Pelodiscus sinensis: one gene and its partner. The protein of the gene in region 1 interacts with the protein of each later gene in a pairwise test. Links are inferred from orthologs where the notes say so. Each region holds a gene or a part of one and is shown on either strand. Other genes may lie near its edges.

The links. The genes of interacting proteins can lie anywhere in the genome.
Region 2: the proteins of NEIL2 (region 1) and MEOX1 interact in binary tests that used the Homo sapiens proteins (3 or more experiments, as listed by UniProt). The two-hybrid records come from large-scale screens. The link is inferred for Pelodiscus sinensis from reciprocal best matches to the Homo sapiens genes NEIL2 and MEOX1.

The regions. Positions count from the first base shown.
Region 1 is NC_134713.1:2,405,990-2,409,737, reverse strand, and holds the start of NEIL2 (endonuclease 8-like 2), read left to right. Parts: upstream 1-927; 5' UTR 928-1,049; exon of another isoform or gene 1,050-1,258; 5' UTR 1,259-1,330; intron 1,331-2,429; 5' UTR 2,430-2,488; coding exon 2,489-2,626; intron 2,627-3,594; coding exon 3,595-3,748. UniProt on the Homo sapiens protein: Involved in base excision repair of DNA damaged by oxidation or by mutagenic agents. Has DNA glycosylase activity towards 5-hydroxyuracil and other oxidized derivatives of cytosine with a preference for mismatched double-stranded DNA (DNA bubbles).
Region 2 is NC_134739.1:7,788,896-7,792,643, forward strand, and holds the start of MEOX1 (homeobox protein MOX-1), read left to right. Parts: upstream 1-1,287; 5' UTR 1,288-1,621; coding exon 1,622-2,069; intron 2,070-3,748. UniProt on the Homo sapiens protein: Mesodermal transcription factor that plays a key role in somitogenesis and is specifically required for sclerotome development. Required for maintenance of the sclerotome polarity and formation of the cranio-cervical joints.

The DNA.
Region 1 (3,748 bases):
TGGGGGGGGGGGGGGGGGAGGAGAGCGCGCCAATTTAGTCCCCCTCTACTCCCTGTCATCCCTCGGCTCGCCTGCTCCTCCTCCTCCCGCCGGCGGTGGCTGGAGTCTCCTCCCCGCCTCTGCGCCCCCAGCCCAACCCTCCTCCATCTCTGCTGGGGGGTTAGAGCGTGCGGGGGCCCGGCCTCAAACTGGAGGGGGCGGGGGAAGATGCAGTACAAGCTCCCCCCTCCTCCCAGGGTCAGGCTGCAAATTTTACCTTTGCCCATGGGTGCATAACATCCTCGCTACGCTCTGGTCAAATTTCACAGGCTGCTCCCTCCCCCCGGGCATGGGCCAATGCAGCCAAGGCATAGCCACAACTTGGACGCAGAGTTGGCAGCCTCCTTAAAAGCCCCGCTCTGTGGAGAGAGGTGATTGCGTTGGACTCTCTTCCGGGCTTTGTTCATTGCTCTGTGTTTGCACGTCCTCCTAGTGCCCCTCCGCCCTGCCCCACTACACACCATCCCTGATAACTCGTGGGTGCAGAGACCAGCCTTGCTTGTAAAATAAGCACACAAGGTCGGTTCTAGCCCTCCCCAGTGCACAGGAGAAACCCACAACAACTTGAAAACAAGAACTCGTGAGGCTCTTGTCTAGAAGACAAAAGCCTCCCACCCCTTTTTATAATCTCAGGATTTTTAAGCCCATCCCATGGTTTTGGGAGCCCTCTGGGCCTTCTGGGTTTTGAGCCCAGGGAGGGGGCATTGCTGTGTTTTTCTCCCATTGACTTCAGTGGCAGTGGGATCACGATTTACGCCTCCCCGCTTTATCCCCTCCCCACCATCAGAACCTAAGCAGGGCCCCATTAGTCACTCTGGGCTCAACTGCTCTGCAGAACTGGGGTTAGGTATTCGATTGAGTGGGTCTGAGGAATGGAGACTTCTCTTTGCAGGCTTGCAGAGAGGGGGTGGTGGGAGATGGGGGGCAGATCTGGGGTGGGGTTGGGCGTGGGGCACAGCAGAGCCTGGGAGTAGCAGGGTTTTGCCCTAACTTTGCAGCGAGTGCCACTGGTGGGTTTTCTCAGGTGCTTGCTATCACCACATTTACAACAGTTCCAAAGAAAGTGCCTAGGTGCTTACGGCCTCTCGCTGCCTGGCCAGTCATGCAGCCCTGCTGCCAGTTGACAAAGGCCCAAATGCGGGACGTGGTTCAGGGTGGCAAAGGCCCAACCTTAGGGTCATGCAGGAAATGCCCAGTATCATGCGATTTCTTCCTACAGGCGAATCCCCAGCGTTCCCTGTAAGCCGTGCGCCTCGGAGGCCACCCAGGAGAGATTCTGGGTGTCTGGCTGGTGAGTCTTGCCCATGTGCTCAGGGTTTAGCTGGTCGCCATATTTGGGGTCGGGAAGGAATTTTCCTCCAGGATAGATTGGCAGAGGCCCTGGAGGTTTTTCGCCTTCCTCTGTAGCATGGGGCACGGGTCACAGCTGGAGGATTCTCTGCATCTTGGGGCCTTCAAAGTATTTGAAGGCTTCAATATCTGAGATATAGGTGAGAGGGTTAGTCTAGGAGAGGTGGGGGTGAGATTCTATGGCCTGCACTGTGCAGGGGGTCAGACTAGATGATCATAATGGTCCCTTCTGACCTTAAAGTCTATGAGTCTATGAGATTCGCATGCTGCCCAGCTGATTAGCAGAGCTCCCCCAGTAGGTGTTTCTACTGCTGGTACACATCCGCACATGCCTCCGGGCACCGAATAAAATGTATTCCACACATGAGTAGAAAGAATTAGAGGGAACGGTGCTAACGGCTTTCTCCCCTCAGTGCTGGGATTCTGTATTTCTTCTGTGAATAATTCTCAGCAGTGAAAAGGAGGGGTACTGGATGGTTTTCGGAATGTAGGGCGTTTCGGGGGTGAGAGGAGTGATGCCCCTTGAAACGAGGTCTGTGTGGGAGGGATGAACACAATAGCTGTGCTAAGCTGTCTTGGAGATAGCTGTGTTAGTCTGTAGCTTTAAAAACAATGAGTAGTCCTGGGGCACCTTGGAGACTAACAAAATGTGTGTGTGTGTGTGTGTGTGTGTGTGTGTGTGTTATCAAGAGCTTTTGTTGGTAAAATCCACTTCTTAAGGTGGTATGTTTAAAGCAAACAAACTTGTTTTGTGATCTCATGTGCATTGTTATCTGGATTTGGTTGTATCAGTTTGTTCAGACTCAAGTGTCACTAACTTTATTTTGCTGTTTAATCAGAAGCAAGTCCTTGTGCTTAGAGCAGGGGTCAGTGAGCTCCCACTTCAGACTTTTACTCCTCAGTGGGGAACTGGAAATGATCCCTGTTTCTCTGACCCCACCCTCCTGCCGATGGGTGAGAGGCATGGGTGTGGAAGATGTGGGGACCAAAGACAGTGGCCTATTTGTTGCAGTCACTGATCGTGTGCACCTTGGCTCTAGGTTACCCAGGGTGAGCCCCCGCCGTGTGTATCTGCAGCTCCCACTGACTTCAGCCGGAGATGCCTGAAGGCCCGTCGGTGAAGAGGTTCCAGTTGCTCACTGCTCCTTTTGTGGGGCAGGTCGTGGCCAAGGTGGGAGGAAGCAGCAGGCAGAGCAGCCTGCAGGATCTGAAAGCAATGAGGCTCCAGGACTCTCAGGTGAGCTGTGCTAAAAGGCAGCCTTGTCGGGACACGTCAGCCCAGCCTCCCAGTCCTGCCTGAACCGCAGTGCTGGTGCAGCGGAGATGGTGGTGTTGGATTTGGGCCAACCACAGTAACATCAGAGAGCCTCTTGTGCTCAGTGGGAAACATGTTCTGTGAAACGTTTGTGGCTCTGAACAAGTGCTGTATAGGCAGGTTTAGACACTACCCACATGGCTCCAGGACTCATCCTAGAGCACTGGAAGGGACCTCGAGAGGTCATCGAGTCTAGGCCCCTGCCTTACCTCCACTGCTTCACCATCCGGAAGCCATCTCAGTTAAACGGGCCCAGGCACAGCCTGCTTCCTGAACCCCTGTCCCAACCCTGAACCTCCTCCTGCACCCAACCTCCTGCCCCAGATGTGAGTCCTCCTACACCCAAACTCCTTCCCAGAGCTTGCACCCTGAAGCCCCTCCTGGACCCCAATCTCCCACCCTGGGCTAAGCCCGGAGCCCCTCCAACAGTCCAAGTCCCTTGGCCCAAGACCAGAGCCTGCACCCCAACCCCCTATCCGAGTCTGGTGCAAGTGAGTGAGGATGGAAGAGGAAGGGTATGGAGCGAGCAGGGTGAGGCCTTGGAGAAGGGATGGAACAAGGGCCGGGCCTCAAAGAAGGGGTGGGAAGGAAGTGGGGCAAGGGTATTTGGGTTTGAGGTAGGTCTTACATTGCCTTTAAATAGAAAAAGTGATCTTGTGCTCCAGAAGGCTGGAGACCACTGCTGTAGCAAGACTGGCAAAGCGAATAAGACTTCACAGGATGTGGGCTTCTGCCCTGACGGAGCTGGCTCCTATCTCCCAGAAAGTCCTCCAGATCCCTCCCATCCCTTGCACATTTGCCCTGTGGGCAGTGAGGGCCCCTAATCGTAAAACATTCACTGCTTGCAAATGCTCAAGTCCTCCGCCGATTCCTCTGCCCTTCATTTTTAGGTGTCTGGAAAGAATTTATTCCTGGCATTCTGTGCTGCTCTGGAAGCCCAGCCCATGAAGGGAAGCCCATCCCCAGTGGAAGAAGGGCCAACCCCCCAAGGAAAAGCTGACAGCGGGGCATGCTCCCTTCGCCAGGCTCGGGAGAGAGAAGTGG
Region 2 (3,748 bases), on another chromosome or scaffold:
GGCTTGTGGACCTCCTGGTCTACTCTCCTCCCGCCCGCCCGCAGGAGTCCTGCCCTTCTCACTCCTCCCCTTGCTTCCCAGCACTTTCGTGCTGCTATGAATCCACTGATTGACACTCTGCACCCTCCTCCCCCGAGCTGGAATGCTGTGAATCAGCTGTTCAAATGCTAGGAGGGAGGGAGGGAGGGGGAAGAGCAGGGACATGGCATCAATCAGGGGGCTCCAAGGGTCCCCATGTGTCAATCAGGGGGCTCCAAGGGTTCCCATGCATGAGAGCAGTATGGGGGAGGGGAGCAGAGAAGGGGCACACATGGTTGCCCATCGCTATTTTAGACTAACCATCTAGCAAGGCCCTGGGAAACCCATGTGAGAGGATGAGGGAACTATTCTATACATAACAAGAACAAGACAAGTCACATTTTTTGCCCCAAATCCCTAAACGGCCTCCACAAGGATTGAACCCACAACCCTGGGTTTAGCAGACCAGTGCTCAAACCACTGAGCTATCCCTCCCCTCCCTGGTAATACTCCAGAAGGACACATCCTAACCCTTCTCTGCCACCTCATACTCTTTGGGAAAGAGATGGAGAGCAGATTCCCTGCTAATATCCTTTCAACTGTGACGACTGTAAGGTCTGGAGATCTGTTTTCTGTTCACAAAACCTATAAAAACTTTCAACACCAAAAATGAAAAATGTGTCTCCCATTGGCACGAAAACCAGAGACGTCTTTGGAGGAAAGTGGCATTTGGACAATCCGCTGGAAAGGGGGACACCCGACGGGGTGATTCTATGCTGTGAGCTGCAAGTCCCTCTTTGCACAACGTTGACACAAGTCATCTGCAAAACCCTGGAGAACAATCTCAGGTTGAATTTGTTTTTATCTTACGATCGGCCCTTAAATCAAATGCAATCAGTGAAGTTCTCTCTTGCTTTCCCTCCCTTGTTTTAGTCCCTGGAATTTGACATCTGTTGAATTCTGGATCTGGTTTAGGGCTTTTTCCAAATCCAAGACTCGGGGAATTTTGTTAACAGAGCAATAAAAATAACTTCATAGTGGTGCAGGGAAACATTAAAGCCTTTTTTGTGTGCTGCTCTCTCCCTTTATAAAAAAAAAATACAGACAATGTTTCTTTAAAAGTCTCCATCTGCAAATCCCATTAGACGTGCGTATAAGGTTTCGGATGATTAATAGTTGCCCGCTTTGCTTTGGTTGGAGGGGCCGAGTGGATGCAAGTTTGCTCCTCCTTCCCCTCTCTCACATTTCACTTCACAAACTTGTCACTCGCTCCCCAGCACCGTATTTAAAAAGTGTTTCGCCCTGGCCCAGCATTTCTCAGGGAAGCAGCTGCAGGCCTTGGGAAACCATTCAGGCCAATCGCGGCAGAGATCTGGTTGGTGTTTTCCAGCTGGGACTATGTGGAAGTTTCGCAGGGCTTCCAAACAAACAAATTTGCCATAGGACAAAATCCACTTTTTAGGGCAGGCGGTGTGGGAGATCCAATTGTGGTTTTCCATAGAAGTTTGGACCTGTATTTTTTTTGTAAACCCAGTTTGCATCCTTGAAGCCTGCGCCAGATTCAGGTGCAAATCTTGCAGCTCGGGCGGCATAGAGGCAGCAAATGAATCCTTCCGGGAGCAGCTGCATGCGAAGCCCCTGTCCCACTCCCCCACTGTGGGGGTGTCTGCGGAATGCCCATTCGGACATCAGCCCGGGAGCAGGGGCACATCATTACTCACAAGCACCATTCTCATTCCATCAAAAACCCGACTTTGCGGCGTATTCCGATTTCTCAGCCTCTTGCCTGGCCACTGCCCCTCACAGCTTCCCCCGAGAGGAACGCATGTTCGCCGAGCACCCTTCCTTCCAGCATTCGGACTGGCACTTTGCAGCGTCTGAGGCCAGGAAGCGGCTAAATCCCGGTGTGGCTTTGGGTGCACGGGAGCTAGAAAGCGGCAGCCCAAACCTAGTGGCTGCTGCAGGGGGTGTGAATGAAGATTATGGAGTCACAGGAACCACGACAAATGAAACGGAGAAAAAGTCCTCCAAACGGAAAAAGGAAACCTCAGGTAGGTGGCATGTTCCCAGGGAGGTGGGAGGGGGGGTCGCAAAGTGTGCAGCATCAGCACATCTGTGAGATTCGGCGGCAGAGATTTGGGAAGGAAACATGTTAGAGTTCTTGCCTCGAGAAAAGTCTAGCCGGCAGCACAGAAGTACTGACCTAGAATGCTTGCTGTGTTTGCCCTGGCATTTCTGTTTGCTTTTCCATGTCGTGGGCCTGAACTAGCTACTTTCCCCTATGGCTCCCTTTCTGTAAGTGTCAGCCAGACTCAGGTGGCGGCCGATGTGGTGGGACGGCAGCCATGCAGACACATTGCGTGTCTCCATTTGTCAAATGATGGGGGGGGGGCATGTCACAAAACAGGCTGCCTGTGGGAGTGTGTTGGAAACAGGGAAAAAGCCAAACAGGTGTCGAGTGGGTTAGGGGCAAGTTACAGTGTGGAAGGTCTAGGCTGGATATTAGGAAAAACTATTTCCCTAGGAAGGTGGGGAAGCCCTGGGATGGGTTCCCTAGGGAGGGGGTGGAATCTCCATAGCTAGAAGTTTTTAAGTCTCGGCTTGCCAAAGCCCTGGCTGGGATGATTGAGTTGGGGTTGGTCCTGCCTTGGGCAGGTGGCTGGACTTGATGACCTCCTGAGGTCTCTTTCAGTTCTATGATTGTCACTAAAAGGAACCAGACCCTGCAAGGGAACACAAACGTCACTGGGGAGCAATCACAGATCGCCCACCCTGACTCATAAAGGAGGAGGCATCACGGTTGCTGGATTGCTAAAGGCATGCTTCTGCCACAAGCCTATCCCAAGGGCTAGCCCCAAGGACACTCATTCTGCCCTCTAAGTACACCTCAGGTAGGATCTCTATTGCTAGGTGCTGAGACTCTCCCTGGAAAATGATGTAACTCATTTTACAGTGTCCTGAGAGCAGAATAGCATGGACCTATCCCGCCACCTGCATTGCAAATGCAGAGTCTAGGCCACGCCCGGTGCTATCTGCAGCTGCCCACCGCAGGAAGCCACGTTGTAGTGCAGTGCGGGTTAAATGCCGCCAACCATCGGTGGTTTTCAGCTGCCTGCCATCAACGATGCCTCCTCCCCTTTGAGACACATCTCACCTCCGGGTCATTTTGGCTGCACGGTGGGTCCTTTCAATCCCAACCCAAACCAGGGGTGGAGTTGAAATGAGCGCCTTGCCCGCGATTTGACACAGCCGGGAAAAGAAAGCAGATGGTTTCACTTGCAAAATGAACACTTTCCGCCTCCTAGTTTTCAGGGATCTCAAGGACCCTTGGCTGCTTGTCGGTGTGAAATACATGGAGGGGCTGGAAGTTTCTCCCAAAGAAGCTATTGAGTTACGTATTTAGGAGGAGTCTCCCTCATTTGTGCCCACCCCTAACCTTGACGGATTTATTCGCCAGCACCCTTGGGAGATAGGAAAATGTCATCCTCAATTTGCAGACTGGGAACTGAGGGACAGAGAGGTTAAATAACTTGCCCAAGGCTACATGGGCTGCTTGGGCAGAGCCAGACTTTCAAGCCAGATCTCCGGACGGTCTGCCCAATGCTGTAACTCCCTGGCCATCTTCTTTCTTTCTTGTTCTGTCAATGCCATTGTTAGCCCCAGTCAGTGGCTATGTCTACACTGCCAGCTTTTGCCGGCAAAGGGTATGCAAATGAAGCACTGATTAACA